2 linked regions of the Danio rerio genome follow. The protein of the gene in region 2 interacts with the protein of the main gene of each other region in a biochemical or structural test. Links are inferred from orthologs where the notes say so. Each region holds a gene or a part of one and is shown on either strand. Other genes may lie near its edges. The genes, in order: top3b and tdrd3.

Evidence for each region.
Region 1: the proteins of tdrd3 (region 2) and top3b form a complex in vitro, tested with the Homo sapiens proteins (2 studies listed by BioGRID and IntAct, with this or other methods). The link is inferred for Danio rerio from reciprocal best matches to the Homo sapiens genes TDRD3 and TOP3B.

The regions. Positions count from the first base shown.
Region 1 is NC_133180.1:13,914,334-13,918,161, forward strand, and holds part of top3b (DNA topoisomerase 3-beta-1), read right to left. Parts: intron 3,435-3,828; coding exon 3,329-3,434; intron 1,770-3,328; coding exon 1,623-1,769; intron 1,463-1,622; coding exon 1,289-1,462; intron 1-1,288. UniProt on the Homo sapiens protein: Releases the supercoiling and torsional tension of DNA introduced during the DNA replication and transcription by transiently cleaving and rejoining one strand of the DNA duplex.
Region 2 is NC_133186.1:45,111,902-45,116,317, reverse strand, and holds the start of tdrd3 (tudor domain-containing protein 3), read right to left. Parts: upstream 2,830-4,416; 5' UTR 2,677-2,829; coding exon 2,639-2,676; intron 633-2,638; coding exon 542-632; intron 340-541; coding exon 274-339; intron 1-273. UniProt on the Homo sapiens protein: Scaffolding protein that specifically recognizes and binds dimethylarginine-containing proteins. Plays a role in the regulation of translation of target mRNAs by binding Arg/Gly-rich motifs (GAR) in dimethylarginine-containing proteins.

The sequences.
Region 1 (3,828 bases), on a different chromosome or scaffold from region 2:
AAAACCTCGGTATGAATGGCACGGTACGGTATTTATTGAATAATTTACAGGAAAAACAAAACTAATGAAAAGACTCGAAAAAAGTGCCAAAAGTGCTTATTTACCTTAGCACTGAACATATCAATGACATACAAATTAGCCATCCATCTGTAAATTTCAAAACAGGAACTTCAATTTTTCAATTTTAATAACAAAAAACTATTAAACATATAAAAAAAAAATAAAGTTTCAATTTAGTATTGTTGAAAACTCATCACATTCAACATTTAATCACTCACTCACTTAGATAGAGATGGGTTTTTTAAGGAAAATGATCATATAACTATAATCTGGTAAAAGCTGGGATCTCTGGGCATGTCCCCAGCAACAGAAAAAAACCCCTCTCATTTGGGACTAAGGTTTCTGGGACAGAGAAATATGATTTAGCCAAGGTTGACAGCAGTGGGTAATATTGTGCATTGTCTTTCCAACCACTTTAGAGGACAAGCCATGATTGAGATAGAGGTCTCTTTGCGGTACAAGTCAATGTCTGCATCAATCTAACAAGTGTGCTGTGTTCTGCAGTCCCCATGACTGTTTTTAGTCATATTCCCCGACTTATATTTCACCAAAGTCTGGCAGTGCCTGCATACTGTTTTTTTCTTTGTCTGTCACCTTTTCCCCTTTTTCATATCTTTTTATAAAGAAACCGAAATGCTTCCACACATCCGATTTAAAACCGGCTTTAGGTTCGATCATTTCCAGCTCTTTTTCTTCCCCGCTACTAGCAGCACACTCCATTTCCGCATTACTGGATCTGTAGTGACAACAGACCGCAAAGGATGATGGCCACGCCTAGGCTGATGGGAATTGTAGTTTCCGCTACCTCCCGTTCGCTTCTTTTGCCTAAGCAAACTTATCTCAGAACTATAGTTATATTGAGTCATGCACCTACGGTAATATTGAAAAAAATTACTATTGCGGTATGACGGTATTAACAATATTGTTACATCCCTAGTTGTAAATCATTCAAGTATAGGTGACAATGAATGGAAAAATCCTTGTACCCTCAATTCTGGAATGAGTCAAATAACTGTGATGCGAATACTGTGATACTGTAATTAAATTTGCAGTGTTTAAGAAACAACTATGATGTTCGTTTGGCATAAACAGACCAAGATGATGTGAAATACTAATATCAGAAGTGCATATTGGATAAATGTGCGGCTTCACATGTCTAAATTAGTTCTCTTCTTGTGAACTTGTTGCCAAGACGATCGGTTTCAGATGTGCGCATGAATGGTCATACCGATGCCGTGTTTCTCCATGAGTGTGATGAGTTCGGCTTCAGTCAGGTAATCCGGGGGATTGGTCTGTTTCTCCAGCAGTTTAATCTCGTCCACAGTAAACATGTCTCCTCGCTCACACACCGGCAAGGCCTCCTCCTGCGCAATACCCTGCCAGGGCATCACCTCCGTGTAACCTGAGAGAAATAATAAAGGTATAGTTCAAGCAAAAATGAACATTTCCTTATTATTTACTCACACCCAAGTGGTTCTTTCAATAAGTGTGGGAAGCCTGCACAGGGTCTCCACTGGAATATGTTTTTAAAATAAGGAAAGACAAAAAAAAAATGCACAGACCAGCAGAGATGAGCGTCTTCCCGCTGCATGTGAAGCCCTCTGTGGCGATGCTGAAGGAAATGGTGGTCTGCAGGTATTTGCAGTCGGGGCTCACCGTCGCTATGAAGTGCCGTGTGATGTAATCATACAGACGCCAGCCATCACTGCCTGCACAGACATAAAGACAGATGTGTTTTACAGCTCTGTTGTTTTATAGATCTTATTATAATGGAGTTCAGATCAGAAAAGGTTTGATTCTCCTGCTAGACACGTTGTCAAAAGCAGCTTTAAAGGTTCAGGACAGCCTGCAGTACTTTTTTGAGATTTTAACAGTTTTGTGTGTGTTGAGCATCAGTTAAGACGATGTTGGCACCTGTTAGCTTTAATTATGATGAAAACTGTATAATTTGGAGCTTTTGTCAGATAATTTCTTCTTCCAGGTTTAAAATCATTTTTGGGGCGGGGTCAAAATGGTGACGTAGTGCAAAACTGCAAGTGAAGTGATGACATGTCGATTTCTCCTTATTATTTATAGCAGAGCTTTCTTATCCAATGAGAAGACCCAGCTTGTTAATTATTCATGAGAGCATGTGCTTTTCGAAGGCAAGGCAGACCTGCCAAGCTGTGAGACCCAATGTCTGGGTGAGAATGTGTTAATGCACAGAACAGGACGTATGTGTTTGCTTCCATGATTCACAGGGTTTGTTGCATGTTTTTCCCCGAGATGCTGACAGGGCCGATACAGTAAAGCTGTTGGTTTGCAGCAAGCATTTTTGTCGGGAGAGCAGTACGAGAAAAGGAGAATGGCGAACTTTGACTTATATCAGTTGTGTTCGTTACCATTCAGACACATCGCTATCTGTGCTGCTGTGTTCACCTATGTTAAAAATCATACAGATTACCGGCAGGGTTAATAGTTGGTATAAATAGTGTCTGCATTCAGAACCGGGGATTCAGGAGAAGTTCTCCTCATTTATAATGTTTATATAAACAAATTGTGGTAATGTGTATATGAAATTATGAACAACATATGTAGCAGGGCATTAAATTACTGTTTATTTCTCTGTTTTGTCTCCCATCCAGGTAATGACCAGGCTCAGCTTTGCTTAGCTTCAGTGAGTAACCGGTCTTGGGCTGCAGTATGATATGGCTGTGGCTATTTGTTAGCATCCGCTACTCAAGCCGTTTGATATTGTAGTGGAAAACTATAATTTCTAGGGATCTTCAAAAAAGAACAGCATTTAGTATTTTGCAAAGTTATAAATGGCACTTTTAATTAGTTTATTGTGGTAATTTAAATAGCTGAATAAACTGCATTAAATGTTGGAGTTTAAAAAAAAAGTAGTAATTGTATTAATAAATGCTGACCCCAGTTTTTTAACCTTGACGTACAGACTGTATGTTACAAGTTTCACTAGATTAAAAACAGATGAATAAATATAAAATTAAGTCTATATTTCTCCCCCTTTCATTCAGTATTTCAAAACTGAATCATGAACGTTGTCCTGAAATGTACAGCAGTCAACATTTGAAGTGGATGATCATCTTTCATCAAAGCTGTACTAAAATATTAAACAACACCCGTTCTTGTACAAGGACAATTTGATTCACTTCAAAAGTTGACTACTGTATATTAAATCATATTGACCTTGGTGTGCTCCTTAATATTTCTCAACCTTTCAATAACAGAAGTGTAAATATGAAATGAGGAAGTCTGACAGTCGCACCCAGTTCACTCTCAGAAGCGGCTCTCATTGGAGTGATTGGCGGGTGGTCTCCAGCATCTGCTCCTTTCCTAGGCCTGTTTATTCCCTCAGAGAGCAGTGCTTTTACCTGCGAACAAAAACACACACAGAAACAATTTTCAGAAGATTAATCACGTCACAAAAATGACATTAAAGGATTAAACACTAAATAATAGATCAAACAGAATAGAATAAAAAAACTAAACAAAATATTATATAATATAATATAATAAACATGTAAACAATATTATAAAAGATATAATGTAATAAAAAATGTCATATAAAACAATAAATAAACTATACTTAAAAAACAAACAGATAATACAATAATATTATTTAAAAAAATACAATAACATTAACTCATTTTAGTTTATTTAAATTATAATACTAAATAGAGGGATAAAAACAAGAAAATGGCAAGGATGCATCTTTCTGTTCCCAAAATCATTTACAAATTGCAATTATAAAGTCCTCTTAATGTG
Region 2 (4,416 bases):
TTTATCCTCAAACTGCTCCTGTGTGTTGCAAGTTTCTTCCACATCTCCTCCGAAGCCTTCCGATTTGATGTGATTTTTGACTGTTGTAGCTGTGAAATAACTCAAATCATTCAGTGTAGTGAAATAGAGCTATAAAGCACTCAAAACCTGCCGGAACTACTTTAGCTGTGCAATTATCTGAAAATAAATGCACACCTTAGATTGCTCATGAGCCAATCAGAATCAAGCATGCAGCAGCTCTTAGTTCAAGCTATGTTTCATCCACAAATGTACCTTTTCTATTCGTCCGCTGTTGATGTCAGCTGGGAGAAAGCTCTTACCGATGGGTCTCAGATCATTCTGTGGATTACATAATAGTATTATTTATTGTCAATTATATAATTGTATTATCTGTTTATTGAGGTGTGACTGATTCTATGGTGAGCCGAAACTCAAATATACATCATCCCAGATGGACAAAGACATGTTATGTAAGAAACTTATTGATATACATTGACATTGTCAAAATAAAAAGGATAAAAGTGTTTCTTAAAGCGCTTACGTTTAGTGCTACTTGTATGATGTCAGTGGGTGATGTTTTCTCCTTCTCTGAAGAACTTTTACACTCCTCGATTCCTTCATCTGTAAGGTACCTGTGAAAAAAAAAAAGTGTTTGATTTTAACCAGGATTTTTCGACATATTTGATGCCCTAAATATGAAGGATCCATGCTTAAATTGAATTTATAAACATTTTTGCACAAACAGCATGTAATGTAATGTATTTTTTATTTAATGCCATGTCAGCAACCAAGGCTATCTTCATGGCAGGAATCTTTCAACAATAAATAAACAATTTAAAAATCAACAAACAAAATAAAACATAAATTAAATAAGATTTTTAGTGTTAATACATGATAAAAATTCTAAAATCTTTTCTGGTTTCACTTTGTCAAAAATGTCCTTAAAAGAGTTCATTTCATAAAAATCTCTTCTGGAATCAGTAAAAGCAGGACAGCCCAGTACAATATGTTTAATAGTAAGAGGAGTTTTGCAGCACAAACACTGAGTATGGTTTTCACCTTGGGGCAAAAAACCATGTGTTATTCTCGTATGCCCAATACAACATCTGGTAAAAACTACTTGATCAAATCGATTCTTAAAATGTCTTAAAATTCTGTGTGAAACTTCAGGTTGGATTTCATATAATTTGATTGTTTTCTAATGCATCCCATTCCTTTTGCCACTTGTTTAAAATGTAAGCGTTGATAAAAGGTTTCATCTCTAACGGAGGAATTTGGCATTTGTTCACTACTTGCTTCAAAGCATCTTTAGCAGCTGCATCAGCTCGCTCACTGCCTAAAAGTCAAACATGTCCTGGATATATATAAAATAATTATGTTTTTATTCTAATGAGACGTTTATAAAATGCAAAAAACTACTGCATTATTCATTCAGATTAAGTCTATTTATTAATTTATTTATATCAAGTAAATTAAGAAATTACCCATGACAACTTTAATGTAATAAAGACTCAGTCAAAATTTACATTTTGCTGCTTGTTTAACCTGAGCTCAAACAACACAATTCTTTAGATTTTTTGGGCAACTATTTGTGTTTGGACAACCTAAATGAATTTCGTGGATCCCTGCACTTTTTTACAGTACATTTAGTATATTTACCTTTAACCCACAGTTAAATTCATTTTTTGGCTCTTCATAACAAAAAGTTTGGGCACCCCTGATTTTGGATATTACTTTAATATCGTAAGGTTATATAGTAGTATTTTAATCAATCACATGGTTCTATTAATCAGTTTACTAGAACTATGTTCAGTTGCTTTGACACGATCCAAATTTAAAAAGCGCTTCATAAATATTAATTGAAACTTGAACTGAACATGAATAAACATGAATTGAATTGTATAAAACCAAATTAGCCTAGCTTTATTCAGTATTCAGATGTATGTTTAAAAACTAATAATTGCTCAATTTGCTTATTCAAACACCTTAAAACACAAAATAATTGTCTTAGTATTATCTTACTATTAATCAGCAGGTCAAATATTTGACTTTTAAGCACTTATTTCAGTATTATGTAAACTCCATTGCATCAAATTGTCATTCTGTTAGCATTGGCCTGCACCTTAGTACTTTAAGACTAAATATAGACGATAAAGTTTGACATCTAAATGAAATTAAAGCAAACTCTGAACAAATAAATAAACATGAAACCTTAAACTCCTTTAATGATGTGAGATTTGGAGAAAGTTTAACGGAGCTCGTCAAAGTTCAGTCCAGTCAGATTTAAACAGTATCAACAATAAACTTCAGCAGCAGATTAATAAACGATACTATAGGCCACCTCTAATATATAACACATACTGATTCAGAATTACTTCCAAAAGACTAACGTTAGCAGTAAATTAATCTTGATTATCGTGCTAATGATTTAGCCGCCAACAACAGTAACGTAAACAAACCCAACGCCAAAGAAACACTGTGATAAACTGCTGACTTTTTATAATCTGCACACTGTTAAATAAACACTTTCAAACGCATGGCATGAGCACATCCCGCTGCGTGAGTAAAGGCATGTAAACATGAGTTAGCATCATTAGCATGCTAAAGAGTTAGCCGATGGCACAGAGTATAGACTCACCAGCCCTCTTTAATAAGCGCCGAGCTTAAATCGCACATCTTCACACACGCTGCAGAGTTTGTACGCAATCGCTGTCTAAAATCTCACTAAGACACCATTGTGTGTTACTCGGGATTCATTTCTGCATCGTTAGCTGAAGCTGCAGCTGGACAAAGACAGATGACGTCACGCGCAAACTTCTGACGCTTCTCGGGTCAAAGTGGTCGGGGGGGACAAGATGGCGGGCTGAACGCATGCGTTTTCACCGAGCAGCCTAGCGAAACTTCTAGTTTATCTTTAGAATTCAACAAATTTTCATCTTCACCTACCTAAAACAACATTTAAACACCACAGGGGTGTTTAACATCGTCAAAATGCCGAAATCTTCACAGCAGACTACCCACCCAAAGATATACATCACTTCAGTGAAGGACGCGGCCTCAGATCCAGAAATGGAGGTACAGACGGCTAAAACAGACAAACGGCGTGATGCATCCCATTTCACCCCGACCAAAGACAACGATAAAAAAAAGCTAAAACCTCATGATGATGACATCACTAACGCAACTCTCTTGCAAGCCATAACATCACTGACAGCTCGTTTTGACGTACAAAATGAACAGTTAGAAGACATGGCAAATCAGATGCGAAAGAACAGTATCATGGTGGCAGAGATTTCTAAGGCGGTTGAATTCAATGCCGCTGAAATTAAAGATTGCAAAGAAAAATGTGCAGAAGCGAGCAAATCACTCCTATATCTAACAACATCACACAAAGACCTGGCGAGCAGAACGTCAGAGCTAGAGCGATACAAAAGGAGATGGAATCTCCGGATCAACGGGATGAAAGAGAAGCCCGAGGAGGATGCTCGTAAAGAAACGATTGCCATGATCGCTGAAATTGCTCCGCATTTGATTCATAAATTAGAAGACATTGTTGACACAGTGCACCGAGTTGGCAAGAAGGAGTTAGGTAAACCCAGGCAAGTGATTGTGCAGTTCACAATGCGTAAATACAGGGACGAAATTTGGAGGTCTACTAAAAATTCATCTGTGTGCCGCGACCACGGAGTTCGTTTCACGGAGGATATGACGAGGGAGGACCGGCTGGCCCGCGCTGCGCTGTGGCCTTTGATCGATCAGGCGCGAAAAGCAGGAAAGATAGCCTACTACCGTGGACCGTTCGGGTATATTGAAGGGAAGCGCATTGACGCCGCATGACTGTGTAGTTGTCCTTTTATGGTAGGACAGTTTGAAATATGACTGTTAAGAAACGCTAGGCTGGGAGGTATGCTCTGTTGTGGTTATAACTGTTTGGGGTTTATACCACCCGTTCTGAGATTTCCTCTTTTGTGAACAAATTTCTGTTATTTTATTTCATCTTTTGCTATTTTTGTTATGTTTCCAGTTAAGTTCAAAATTTCTCTCATGTCACTTAACGTCAGGGGCATCCAAGATAAAGTCAAACGTAAAGCAATGTTCTTATTTTGTAAAAGTAATGGTTCTCAATGCATTTTTTTACAAGAGACACACTCAACTGTTTCAGACTCTTCGTTTTGGTCTAGTCAATGGGGAGATAAAGTTTTACTTAGCCATGGTTCCTCCCACTCGGCTGGTACTGCAATTTTATTTAATAACTGTCCAGGGAAAATAATTTCTGCTAAATATGACCCTAATGGACATTGGCTAGCAGTGGTGTTAGATATTGAGCACTTTTTTTTCATTCTGGTAAACGTATATGGTTACAATAATTCTAAATTGAATCAAAATTTATTGCAGGAAATATCCTCTGTAATTTCC